Daphnia pulex: one gene and its partners. The main gene of each other region encodes a partner of the protein of the gene in region 2 in a complex. Links are inferred from orthologs where the notes say so. Each region holds a gene or a part of one and is shown on either strand. Other genes may lie near its edges. The genes, in order: nuclear cap-binding protein subunit 1-like, negative elongation factor E-like and nuclear cap-binding protein subunit 2-like.

Evidence for each region.
Region 1: the proteins of negative elongation factor E-like (region 2) and nuclear cap-binding protein subunit 1-like are in contact, whole or in part, in a crystal structure (PDB 5OOB), measured with the Homo sapiens proteins. The link is inferred for Daphnia pulex from reciprocal best matches to the Homo sapiens genes NELFE and NCBP1. Residues at the interface, in NP_002895.3 of Homo sapiens: Arg362, Ile365, Val366, Tyr367, Ser368, Asp370, Val371, Tyr372, Gly379, Phe380; in NP_002477.1 of Homo sapiens: Tyr461, Lys511, Lys557, Ser558, Ser560, His561, Ser564, Lys568, Ile609, Arg610, Gln612, Cys616, Lys647, Met648, His651, Glu705.
Region 3: the proteins of negative elongation factor E-like (region 2) and nuclear cap-binding protein subunit 2-like are in contact, whole or in part, in a crystal structure (PDB 5OOB), measured with the Homo sapiens proteins. The link is inferred for Daphnia pulex from reciprocal best matches to the Homo sapiens genes NELFE and NCBP2. Residues at the interface, in NP_002895.3 of Homo sapiens: Lys361, Arg362, Gln364, Ile365, Val366, Tyr367, Asp369, Tyr372; in NP_031388.2 of Homo sapiens: Phe49, Tyr50, Thr51, Thr52, Glu53, Gln55, Lys68, Ile69, Ile70, Met71, Leu73, Lys77, Lys78, Thr79, Ala80, Asp107, Glu121, Gln124.

What each region holds. Positions count from the first base shown.
Region 1 is NC_060022.1:6,378,160-6,383,183, forward strand, and holds the start of nuclear cap-binding protein subunit 1-like, read right to left. Parts: upstream 2,956-5,024; 5' UTR 2,832-2,955; coding exon 2,801-2,831; intron 2,736-2,800; coding exon 2,458-2,735; intron 2,403-2,457; coding exon 2,209-2,402; intron 2,142-2,208; coding exon 1,970-2,141; intron 1,910-1,969; coding exon 1,688-1,909; intron 1,628-1,687; coding exon 1,527-1,627; intron 1,466-1,526; coding exon 1,294-1,465; intron 1,230-1,293; coding exon 1,062-1,229; intron 1,002-1,061; coding exon 749-1,001; intron 690-748; coding exon 556-689; intron 490-555; coding exon 165-489; intron 103-164; coding exon 1-102. Other genes in the region: uncharacterized protein LOC124196162, read right to left, coding at 3,824-4,011, 4,101-4,259, 4,350-4,587, 4,648-4,674. UniProt on the Homo sapiens protein: Component of the cap-binding complex (CBC), which binds cotranscriptionally to the 5'-cap of pre-mRNAs and is involved in various processes such as pre-mRNA splicing, translation regulation, nonsense-mediated mRNA decay, RNA-mediated gene silencing (RNAi) by microRNAs (miRNAs) and mRNA export.
Region 2 is NC_060021.1:9,953,007-9,957,151, forward strand, and holds negative elongation factor E-like, read right to left. Parts: upstream 2,381-4,145; 5' UTR 2,290-2,380; coding exon 2,209-2,289; intron 2,146-2,208; coding exon 1,837-2,145; intron 1,778-1,836; coding exon 1,628-1,777; intron 1,560-1,627; coding exon 1,468-1,559; intron 1,410-1,467; coding exon 1,355-1,409; intron 1,044-1,354; coding exon 932-1,043; intron 863-931; coding exon 789-862; 3' UTR 736-788; downstream 1-735. UniProt on the Homo sapiens protein: Essential component of the NELF complex, a complex that negatively regulates the elongation of transcription by RNA polymerase II.
Region 3 is NC_060026.1:16,276,087-16,279,904, reverse strand, and holds nuclear cap-binding protein subunit 2-like, read right to left. Parts: upstream 2,000-3,818; 5' UTR 1,804-1,999; coding exon 1,765-1,803; intron 1,620-1,764; coding exon 1,533-1,619; intron 1,473-1,532; coding exon 1,378-1,472; intron 1,314-1,377; coding exon 1,175-1,313; intron 1,117-1,174; coding exon 1,018-1,116; 3' UTR 921-1,017; downstream 1-920. Other genes in the region: hsp70-binding protein 1-like, read left to right, coding at 2,356-2,641, 2,706-2,927, 2,988-3,143, 3,203-3,411, 3,478-3,546. UniProt on the Homo sapiens protein: Component of the cap-binding complex (CBC), which binds co-transcriptionally to the 5' cap of pre-mRNAs and is involved in various processes such as pre-mRNA splicing, translation regulation, nonsense-mediated mRNA decay, RNA-mediated gene silencing (RNAi) by microRNAs (miRNAs) and mRNA export.

The DNA of each region.
Region 1 (5,024 bases), on a different chromosome or scaffold from region 2:
AGCGTTCTTCCATACGCTCGACCATCTCTTCCGTAGGTTGTTCCCCATCGTCCTTTGTAGCTTCTTTATTGCTAGAGGTGCGTCGACGCTTTTCGCCACCCTCTTTAGTTAAAACGGAAAAAAAATTAAGCGAATGATTAACATTAATCCAAAGTTGTTCGCACCTCTAGATGGATCTTCATCAGATGATTCCGAATCAGATGGTGCAGCTCTGAGTTTAGCGCGTGCATCCGCCACCTCTTTCTCTAGACGGACGACGTGTTTGTTCATTTTGCGAATAGTCAAGTGCAAGACCTCCCAAATGTACGAACGAGTGAACTCGGGTGCCATGTCTCGTGAAAAGATCCAATTTGCTACGGCACAACACTCAACAATTTGTGTCTTTAACATCTTATCAACTACCACTCCTAAAAATTGTGGGTGGTGTTGCCAGAGCTCATAAACTTGACGAAGCATACAGATCTGTGCCTCTTCATTCTCACAAATATTCTATGACAGAAACGTAAAATTGAATCGTTTTATACTATCGATAACATTTCAATCTGTTGAAAATACCTTGAAGACTGAATGATATTTAGCGAGACCTGCAAAAGTATGCGTAAAACTCTTCGATCCCAAATGTAGCAGAGTCTGAACAAATACTTCAATTGCTAGAGGATTGTGTGAAGGCTCCATATCCCCGTCGTCATCTAATTACAATTGCATCAAAATGGCTTGAAGTTATACATATTGTATCCACCATATTTACCTTTGAGAGGATTCGGTAGTTGCTGGACCAACTCTAGTACTTCTTCAGGCGTTGGCTTTTTTCTTAGGAGCTCAGTCAAAGTCTGGACTTGAGCAGCCCCAGGAAAACCATTTCCTCCTTCAATTTGGTATTTAAAGTACGGTTCTGGTTTCGGGGGCAACAGCGGTGAGTAACATTCAGGCACCATTTCAGTCACGCGCTTGTGATAGGAGAGTCTCAAACATTTCCCGAACACTTCAGAAACAAATTTTGCCTGAAATTTAAGTGTTCCTTTAGATAGATTTCGAAAAATTTCATTTTTTTAAACATTTACCTTGGGGTGGTCTTTTTCGAGTGAAAGACAATTCTGCCAGTCATCCCAACTCCAGCGGAATTGAAAGTTACTGAGATGGTAAGAAAACCAAGAAACGAATCTATCAAAGCAGGTGGCATTCATGGTATCAATTCTTTCGTAAAGCAACTCCGTAGCCTGTGCTAACACCTGGTTGTGAAATAAAAAGTCAAATGAAAATGTTCAAGTTTCTACTGTAAGATCATATTTTCACCTGAGGCATTGTACTTGGTTGAAGCTTGCAAAGTTCTATCAAAGTACAACCATAAGCAATCTCCAAGTAACGAGGGGAAGGCATTTGGAAAAGTTCTGAGAAGAGAACTTCAACTATCATGTATTCCAAAGGGATCTTATTTCTCTGTGGGAACGCCAACAATTGGGTGGCTCTGAAAAGCAAAATTAATTTACTATTATCTGCACAAACGTTTCTGTCAAGTTGAAACTCACAGTTCCTTGCGTTCGTTATGATGACGAGTGATGATCTGGTGTAAATGTTCCTCAATCAAGTAACGCTCTACTGAATGAGTTCCTGGTAAAAGTGGACCAGCCTGAAAATGAGTCCCGAGTTAAATACGCACGATACACACTTTTGAAAGCGTTTAACTTACTTCTGGACAGTCAGTGTAATCAAACATCCTGAAAACAACCCATGGTAGCGGATATTGCGTACTAGCTGTGTGAGGCGGAGGTAGAATGACCGGGAGATTGTGTTGCAAAGCTTCAGAGAGGATAGAATCAAAAGCTAAATATGGACGGTAAATGTGTCTTTCCTGCCACTCGTCTGTCCGCAATTTCCGTACTTGAGCCCAAAGACATTCCAGGTATTCTTCCTAGAAAGAACGTTTTTCGAAATTTTTCAATTATTATTAAAATGCCATGCCATTTCTGACCTGTGGGTGCGGAGTTTCACAATTCCAAACTCGAAGAGCAGCGACATGAGCAGTATTTCTTCTGCGAAGATAACCTTCCATTGCTGCCATTATACGTTCAAGATCATTTTCTTTCTTTTCAAAAAGCTCTCGACCAACCCAAGGAAGCGCCGTCAACAACGCATACATGTACCTGTAAATTGATACAGTGTTGTGATCTACATTACTCTTGCTTTAGAATAAAACAAAAATTTAATTACCAGTCTCGTCGAACCTGAGGAACTCCTTGTTCCATGGCAGCGTCAATAAAACTGTCATATAACTGTAGCAAGGAAGAGGCAGAGACTATGTGACAGTTGACCATGTCAGATATGAAACGTACAATTAAACGAGCAGATTCCCATTGCCCCTCACGGAGAGCTTCTTTTAGGTTTCTCACTATTTGTTCCACAAACTAAAAAAAGATATACTTGTATCTTAAAAACTGAAAGTACAATTTTAAAACAAACCTCTCCTCCAAAATTATAGTTTTTAGCATTCAGAAGACCAACTAATGTGCTGTAGATAGTACATTTCTCTGGCATTTGGATTGGGCATTCCGACAAAATACGTAATATTTTACTCTTGTACGTGTTCAAATCAGCTTCTAATACTGAAGCAAGCCCTTCTAAATTGCTTTCTAAAGATGATGACGTTTTGTCTCCAACCCTGATAATAAGAGATTCTAACCGGTCTTCAATTTCTGCCTGCTCCGAGACAACTCTGCGCCTTTTACGATACCCATGTTCTGTAATTTTAAACAAATAACTTTTTATAATGTCATCAAATTCTTCAATAAGTTGTAATCCTTACCATATCCATCATCACGTTTCCTACGACTCATTCTTTGATTTTATTTTAAATTGGTCTACGACGCTTACAAGACAGACAAACTACTACCACCCTGTTTGACTGTTTGTCATATGGAGCTATTAAAGAAGCTGTTAATTTGACGCCATCTATTGATGAAATCATAAACTTCGATGATCGTGAAAATAGTTTACATAACTTGACAACGTAGCTGTAAAAATTGTTTATTTTAGGCAACGCAATTTGGCGCAAAAATTCAATTCAGTTTATATTCAGCTGAATTGAATTAAATTCACGCAAAAATGGGATTTGTTGAATTCAATTTAGGTGAAATTGGCTACGAATGTCGGACGATTCGGCAAAAACCATTTCGGCAAATCGCCGAAAACCGTTTCGGCAAAGTTGCCGAATTGTCACCTATGAAATTACCGATTCGGCAAAAGTCGATTCGGCAACTGTGCAAATGTAAATTGGCGGCAAATACTGTGGAACCCAATTAACCCCACAACGTTAGCTAGGGCTGTAAATCGGGTAAAAGCAAAGCGCACTGCTAAAAACCCAATTGATCTTTTTTTTCAAATCAAAATGGACTTAATGCCCACTTCGTTTTTTAAAGGAGAAGTTGTAGTTGGTTCTAAACGTCATTTAATTTTCATGACTGACGAACAACTAGCGCTTTTGAAAACTGCCGTTCGATGGTATGCCGACGGAACCTTTAAAATAATAAACTTCCCTTTCACTCAACTATTTTCCCTCCATGGTTTTCTAAAAAAGAATGGGCAGTTAAAGCAGGTTCCACTTTGTTTTGTGTTTATGTCGGGAAGGGCTCAAAGATCTCTCGGGAAAGACAGTATAATTCGCGTGTTGGTGGTGGCGCTGATTACCCGAAACCCACACAGCTAGCGCCACTGGCCTTACAACGGCATTTTAAACAATTTTGCCGAATTGGCTTTTTACCGAATTGGTATGTACGATTCGGGAAAATAACAAAGTCAACCAATTCGGCAAAAACCAATTCGGCAAACGTCAAATTTGCCGAATCGTCCGTATACCTTGGCTACAATTCACAACTTGGCTCGTAGTGCAAACTGTGGATGGAATGGAACGAACATCAGCTTGATGAGCGGCATTGATTAAGCCTGCAGGATTGCTTGACACACAATAACTGTCATCCGTTGAACTAGTGGATAGGCCTACAGATTCCGCTGCATTGACTACAATACAAAAAGAAATGATTAAAACGAAGAGTGAATAATAAAATTAATGGTGAATGGAAGTATGCTAACAACCACATGAGCCATACCTGGTAAAGAATTGTTCGTACTTGAGTCTCTTGTACGTGTGCTCTCGGCCCGTTTACGGCCCGCATTCACACTTTTCTCCACAGCAGGATTTGTTGTTGATGGGACACTACTGTTATTCACTGAACTGGTGGATAAAGATTCCGCTGCAATGACTACAACTTGAATACAAAAAGAAATGATGAACAATGAAGAGTGAATAATAAAATTAACGATGAATGGAAGTCTGCTAACAACCACATGAGCCATACCTGGTAAAGAATTGTTTGTGCTTAATCTTTCACCATTTCCCTGGCTGTCACAGAACCCTTTTTCAGTTTCTTCAAAATCCCCCTTGAATTTTCTTCTAAATGATTGCCCTTGCTCTGTGGCAAGGAGGGCAGCTGCTTCGGCCCCTGACACAAAGGTGTGAAAGGTTGGTTCACTTGAGTTTGGTATTTTTATAAACATAATGACTTGGGCATTACTGTCTTCAGTCAGCCACCTGCCCTGTTAAAGAAAAAAATGTTACGATTCCAATTGAAGCTTAAACAATATAAAACAGAATACCCTGTCCTTTATTCCACTAATCCTCATGGATCTTGTTGAGCGTTTGGCTGAATGAATTCGCCTTTTCTTCGAATGATTGTCCTGTTGAAAGAAGAACACTTCACGTTATAAATAGTGCAAGTAAAAATGGGTTATTCAAGTAAAACTTACGTTAAGTTGCTGATAAACACCGCATTCTCTTTTTCGTTGGACAGCAGTTTTTTCCGTTGTTGTTGATTGAACACTTGAAATACATGCAGTATTCTCACTTGTAATTGGACGTAATCTGGTTCTTTTAGTTTTTTCACTAAAATTATCGAAAGATCGCCCTCTCCTTTTGTTACTAACATGTTTTTCTCGTCTTTTTTTTAGAATTTCCTGGTGATTTTGACTTTCCA
Region 2 (4,145 bases):
TCATTGTTTTTTTGTTTTTTTAACATTTTTTCCAGTGATATGACAGGACATTCCCCGTCTTTACATTTCCCACCTTTCTGTTAAGTTTTTAACGATCGTCTATTTTAGTTGCTGAAAGGCAGGGCCTGCAATTTGCGACTTTATTTTGTTTTTTCCGTTGATTTTTTTTCTGTTGCACGATATTCATGAACGTCTCTAATCAGAACGCATATTGAGACATGATTGCAGACATTTACGCAAAGCATTTATCTGTTATAAGCTAATAGGTCTGCGTCTGTCGATTTTGAGATATATTTTTCCCCTTCCATACGTATCGCTTGACAAATGGAGCTAGATTCTTGTCCCCTCTTTCCATAATATTCTTTCAAAATCAATACTTTATGCACTTTGAACGTCGGGAAAATCGTTCACCTTCGCACACCGCATTCCGCTGTCTATGTGATTACTCAACAACAAACAGAATTCCGTTTGCAATGCCCCGAAGAGTCTAATGTTATTATTACGTCGTTATGATCGTTTCAAGGTAAAATTACTTTTCTGGAATGGGGGCGAAGGGGATGGAAAGAGGCAATTTATCGTATATAAATGTTGGGGGGAATTAAAAAAAAGAGATTTGATCCGGGAAGCTAAATATTCTCTCGTTTGGTGCCCGTCTAAAAATAAAACTTGTTTTTGTTTTTTTCCATGTATTTCTGATGGGAAATTTATGTAAAATGAAATATCACTGTACATCCACCACGAGAAAATTACAATTACATAGAACCGCCTGTACTGTGATGATTTACTTTTTAAAACAATTCCTCTTCATATGTCACTAAATCGCGCTTATCTTTATAGGATCCTTTCTGAGAATTGCGAGCCGCTGAAATGGAGAAAACAAAAATAAATGACATTTCATCAAAACTAGAAAGCTCAATAAAATAAGGCTAACCTATTGTGGACCACGTAGCGGATGATGTTGCATCGTTTATAGGTTCGATGACAGGTTGACGCCTTGCGAGTGACACTTTTAGTTGAATACCGGATACCATGCTACCATTCATCTAGTATTCAGTCACAAAAGAAAAACAATGGCAGTGTATATCATTATTACATTCGTCATAGGGGAAATTTTAGTGACGATAGAATCTGGTGCGCTTAACAACCTGGAACGCCTTTTTTAAATTTCGAAATAAATTTACTACGAGCCAAAAGTTCCCACTAGGTATATTGGGCAAGAAACTTGGTATAAAAATTCCCATTACGATTTGGTCAACTACTAAAGCATTTAAAACCCACAGGATTTTGTTTGTCTATTTTAGTAAAATAGGCAAAAGTGAGGAGTAGATTTTTTAAGGGAATTCTCTATACATACTTCACTGATGGCTCTGTCTGCTGAAGTTGTTTTGTCGAACGTAACGAACCCGCAACTGAGAACAAAAAGGTATTTAATATTTTGCTACTGTTTGCTTTAATAGAAGATATTACTTTTTCTCAATTTCCATTGAAATGTTTACAACATTTCCAAAAGACTGGAAAGCTTTTTTGAGGATTTCTTCTGTAATGCTGTAGCCAAACACCTAAAAATGGCAAACAATGTGATTAATCAACACATTTCATCAAAAATCTACAGCCAAGAAATGATTACATAAACTGTGTGCCCCACTGTAGGTTTCTGGTGCTTCACTGGAGAAATGGCAGGAGAGGTAGGTGTTTCTTTGGGGTTTGTTGGACTAATTGAAGCTGGTTCAGCATCTGATTCTCTTGAAGAAATGAAATTTTCATAGAGATTGGGAACCTAAGCAGAAAGGAGAATGCTTGAACACAGTTATTTGGATTGGATAGTGTTGTTGTTACCTTGCTTTTGGTTCTAGCTTCATGTGTGACATGTTCTTCATTAGAAACCATACTTCCTTGACTTGAAGAAAACGGTTGGAATCCACTTGGTGCTCGATCAGAAGAGGAAAGTTTTCTTTCTAAGCCTCTTGATCTTTTGAATCCAGTAGTTTCTGTTTTCTCGCTAGGTTTTGGAATGGCTGAAATGGCTCCGGACTTCAAGAGCTTTTTAGCCACTTCTCTGGCGTCTCTTGCTTCTGCAGGTCTTTTGAGTGCAGGTGTTTTTTCTGGTTCTGGTTTGGGTGCTTTCAGTGCTTGCAAAGCTTTTTTCTATTTCCAGTATACTTCATTAGTAAAATAGTAAAAGGTATATACTATTTGCATGCAACCCACCTTCTTTTTAAGTTTTTGATATTTAGTTTGCAGCATTAATTCCTCTTCTGTCAAATTGGAGGGGAAATGAAGATAAACCATTTTATTAAGCGTTGACTTTGATTTTGTTCGTTCGTTTTGCAAATTTAACGTTAAATTTCGTTGTTGTTTACGCCGCCCAAGGACGAGTTGTAGATTTCGACGTTAGATGTCGCCTGTGGAATTCTTACGTAAATAACAATAGCAAGGGACCTGGTAACAGAACATTTTTTTTTCCCTCAAAAGGACCAATCCAATCACAAGTGTTTAGGTCACGTGTCTGAGCCTCGTAAACGGAAATTCCAGCCATTCACGATCCTTGGCCGCCGTAGCCGTCAGACGTGAGTATACCAAGGGGGAGAGAATAGACAGATTCGAGTACGAGAAACTGGTGTAACGAGACTGTGTGTGTGTGTGTGTGTAGCTTGAATGAAAAATCGATCCATCTGCAGTTGCTGCTGTTCTCATCATTCGTCGATACGAGCCTAGGTATAATTTACAGTGGTGATGTGTCAAGGTTACAAACATTTTTTCACACCTTTGTCTCCTACTTGATTCTTTTTATGGATTGTGCAGGTGTGTAGTAGAGCCCGTCCGTTTGCCGGCCTCATGATAGTACAACACGATACACTACAGGCTAGGTGAGTAAAACTGTCAATAGTTGCGCAATCTGTCTTTTATTTTCCAAAGTGCCGGCTAGCTAGAGAGTTTTTTCAACCCTCGAGTTATTCGAGAAACTTTCAAGGTTCTCTCCTTTCGAGTTAGGGAGAGACGACGATTCTTTTGTTCCATTTCGACTCGCATTTTCCCCCCTGGAAGTAGACACAGACACACAAAAAAGGGCAAAATAGTAGTAAAAATATAGTAGAGACACTTGCCCAGGAGAACCATCGAGTGGGCGGTGTAGTAGTAGTAGTATTATAGTAAGGTTCTTTCTCCCTCTTCTGGTTTGGGTTGGACACAACAATGGGGACCCCCAGCCTCTTTTGAAAAGAAGTAAAAAGGGGAAAATGCTTTTTCCCCACCAACCCCTGTACAGGTTCTTTTTTCCCCTATTATTTTCGGTCATGGTGGGAAAACAATTCAACTGAGAAAGACGACCAAAAAATGATGTGCCACAGTGCCAGTGTGTGTGTGTGATGAGGTCATAGTTGTTGATCAGAAGAACACAATTTCTGCCCTGTCATATTAATAAGAAATGGGCTGCTGCTGGCGTCTGAAAAATCAGTCGACTGGCGTGTAGTTCGGTCATTCTGTGAAAAAAAAAAAGTTTTTATTTTGGAAGATGTCGAGTGTAGTAGAATTGTAGGCGCGCGCCGACTCTGAATTTCTAGGACCCTCCCCATCCGCCATTCCGCCTGCAGCAGAGATAGGGCCCTGGTGAACCGGTATACACTCAGTCTTCATCTGGCCGTGTCGTCGTGCAGTGCAAGTGTTTGTGGCTCCCTCTTTCGCCGATAGTTTTGCCATCGACCGTTTTACTTGGCCACATAATAATAATATCCACATGCTACCATGGAATGGAGGGTAAGGCTTACACAACTGCTGCCATTTTCTTGGTTTAACACGACGAAAAAGCCCAACGAAAATTCTCCATTTTTTTCTCGTTGGCCGAGAGAGAATTGGGTGTGCTTTGTTGGCGTTTTGTGTGCGGTGGTGGCGCCATGGACGGCCTTGACTCGATTGAGCTGCTCTTTCTTCGACTTGTCTAAACTTGGTGTGTTTGTGTGTGTGTGTGTGTGTGTGTTCAAACACGACAATCTCTTTACCATTTCGCCGTGGTGGCCATCTTATATTTTATACATATGACGATCCAATCAGATTTGAATTTGTTTTTCTTGAAATGTCGTGAGCAATAGGAATGGGGTTATCAGCCGGGAGAAAGCTTAAGCAAACACATACACAGGTTGTGACGCCTA
Region 3 (3,818 bases), on a different chromosome or scaffold from region 2:
TGGCCGTCAACGACACCTAATATACCAACCAATCGATAACTTAACGGCCAGACACAATACCTGCTCCTACACTAGTTTCAAACAGAGGGAATTAAATGATGTATAAACGGATATTCGCAGGGGGGGAAACAGCCCCGTTTTGTTGGCATGGCCACCAGGAGGAAGATGAAGATTATACAACAGGTGCTGGGCAATGTTCATGTCGCTCCACGTGAGTTTTACGTCAATATTTGAATAAGCAACATCTGTAGTGCTGGGCGGTGGGTACAGCAGCCAGCCAACATGCACCAGTCCCGCTATAGCCTCACGGCGGAGCACGCGGATCGGCACGCGGACATGAATGCTTCCAGCGGCTGCAGCAGTGGGAGAGAACTCGATTGCCGTCGCCCAGAAATATTCAAACAGCCAACACCAGATACACACACACTCACTCAGTACAATTTTCCTGGTAGTTCAGATGCACGTTGAATGTCACGTCAAGCACATTCTTTCTTCGAACGATAAATAAGTTAGTTTTAATTTGGAATAACTAAACAACTACCGAGCAATCAGAAATCGATACCATTTCCATTTTGGAAATCATCTAATTGATCAATGATCATTGAATTAGCTTCACATTTGACACAAATTCAATTGTGACATTCGTTATAAGTTGCAGACGACCACTGGGAATTGAATATTCAAATATTTCTTTGCATGTAGATGATGGCGTGCATCACGCGGCCGCAAAAGCTCTTCTGGGAAACTACCCGCTTCGCTTTGAAAAGGAAAAAGCTTTGGGAGTGACAGATCACATGGCAAGAGATTCTAGTGTCCCCACTTTTCGATCGATAAAATCCAGGCCAACCGGACTGGCAGATGGAAACATGACGAGAAACGTCTTCTTTCACAGGTAAAAAAGATTTTGTTTAGGAAATCAATTCAGCATGGTCTGTTTTAATTGAGGATAACACTTGTTGACATTTGTTAAAAAAAAAAACACACAGAGATGAATGAATACAGTATTTAGAAATGTTATCAATTGTTAGCAGCAGCAGATGTGGCCACCTTCTGCTGAATCATTTTGCCCCATCCTCCTCTGCCACCATCAAAGTCAGTTCGGTATTCATCTCTCACCTGCAAAACAGAAATCCATTAGTTGAGAACAATAAGTTTGAGCTGACGAAATGCTGACCTGTCCTCCAGTTTTGCCTCTGCCATATTGCCTTCCTTCAATGAAGCCAGCATCCCAGTCAGTTCTCACAATTCTGTCATCCAGTCTTGTCCCATTCACAAACCTGATGGCATTTTCTGAATCATTCCTCAGGTAAAACCTTGAAAGATAATTAGAAATAATTAAACACAATTTTGTTATTGGATTTGGTTGCAATGACTTACTCTACAAAACAAAATCCACAAGGGGTCCTAGTAAACTTGTCCAATCCCATGATGATTCTCTTGACATCGCCACATTTCCCAAACAATTCATGGATCTAAAATATTTGAAAAGATGAAATCAAATGGAACCAATTGTTGACTTGGAAGTATTTAACCTGTTCTTCAGTTGTGTAAAAGGACAAGTTTCCAACATACAGGGTGCAAGATTGACTCAACAGACGCTCCTGCTCTACCCGGGAACCCTGAAAGATGGAAATCAGTTATTTTGGCTTGAAATATCAAAATATTTTTAATTATTAAGGTATGCATTTCCATTTAAACATTAATTGCCTCAAAACTGTATATTAAGTTACATTTTCAATTCTGCTATCAACTCATGAGGCTTACTTTGAAATGTTGGTCTCGGTATGTGCTTGGAACCGCCATTTCTACGAATTATTTCGGGAGAACCAATCACACCGTTCACCCCAGTGTCTTCCGAATTAAGTGTCCTTGTATTCAGCCAATCAACCGGCTAAACTTTATGCGTTTTAAATTACTAAAATTGGTGTGGTTTTTTTCTAAAAAAAAGTGTGCGTTGACACAACAAACCTGACGCGAGTGACTTTCGAAAAGATGCTTATGGCGGCCGCTAGGTTACGTCACTTGCTAGAAACCCATTCCGGCGTTAAACTACAATTAAAAACCAAATAAAAATATGACACACTTTCGCAGATTTTTTCAATAATTTTTTAAAATCTCAATGAATTTTATCCAAATCTTAATTAACTTAACAGGTTTGTTTTGTAAATGTCAAAATTTTTTAAGTTATGCGAGTCATGCCTAGATGGCTCTTTTTATTCCAGACTCTTCTTGATTTTGCTAGTAAACAGTTTCATTGACGTCTGCTTGCCCCATGCGTTCACGGTTTAACTTGCGTACTGCGTCTTATTCTTCATAAATATATAACAAGTTGTTGTTGAGATCCTTAGCAAAACAATGGAACCCCCACGACAACCAAGAGATATGCAAGGACTTTTAAGATTTGCCATCGAAGGCACCGCAGCTGAAGATCGTACCACAACCACATCGATGAGTGAAGAAAGGAGACGCTGGTTAGAAGAAGCTCTAAGAGGATTGTCAGTCGACGTTGTAGCCGAAATATCAAAATCGTTAAATATCCTCAATCCAGATCGAGTCGAAAGTCCTGAAGAAGATCCCCAGGAGATGGAGGAAGCATTGGAAATGATTACTGACTTTGCCGATTCCATGGACACGGCTAATGGTATGAGATATCTTTTTTTATTGATTGAATAAAACATTGACACTTGTTTCGCTTGTTTCTCCAGACTTTCACAAGATAGGAGGATTTTTCATCCTCATCCCCTGTTTGAATTCTCCCCACGATGGAGTTCGTTGGAGGTGCTGTCAGTTGATTGGCACCCTCACCCAGAACAACCCATACTGCCAACAGCATGTGCTCAACGAAGACCTATTGCCAATTTTGCTTAAAATGCTGGAAAACGATGACTGTGAAGAGGCGAGAATCAAAGCCCTGTACGCCATTTCATGTAATGAGCAGATTTACAACTCACACTAAGGGAATTCAGTTAACAATTGATTGATTATAGGTTTGACAAGAGAATGTGCAGAAGCCCAGGATGCATTTGTGCATTGTGATGGTTTCTCGTCTTTACTGAGAGCACTGCAATCATCACTCGGGAAACTGAAAATCAAGGCTTCATTCTTGTTGACTTGTTTATGCAATGAGAATCCATCCTTCAAAGGTTTTATTCACATTCATAAGTTTCTCCATTTGTACTCTAACCAATACCCTGTTTACTAGATACTTTATGTAATATGGGATTTGTGGAGCAGTTTGTGGCTCTGCTTCAACGAGATCACGACTCGACTCACGAACATCTACTGGCCGCCTTGCTGGCACTTACCCAGAGCCACCCCCCATCGATCGAGGAGTGCCGTAGATCAGAGTTTCTCTTTCGTGAATTTCTCGACAACCGCATCGAATTAATCGGAGATCGCGACGAATGTCTGGTAATAATTATTAGTCAATACTTGAAAATGAAATCGAATTTTAAACTTTGAATTTTCATTTGATAGGAGGAAGCCGAGTATTGCCGTACTTTGTTGTCGGTGATTTTCAAGGAAGACATTGTCGAAGACAGGTGAAGTTATTGGCATTCGATTGCTGGCAATAGAAAGAGAATTTAAAAAGCAAACAAAGAGGCTCATGATATGGAGGCGCAATACACACACCGACGTCCTTTTGATAATCTTTACGTTTTTGTTTGTTTACTCTCTCGTGAACCATCGAAGCGTGAACGGTGTTCTCTAATTTTGTTATCGTAATCTACCAATCCTATTGATCCTCAAGATTGTTGTGGTCATTACAATCCTAAAGAATACATATGTATTAACAAGAAGGTCTCTGCTGAAAAAGT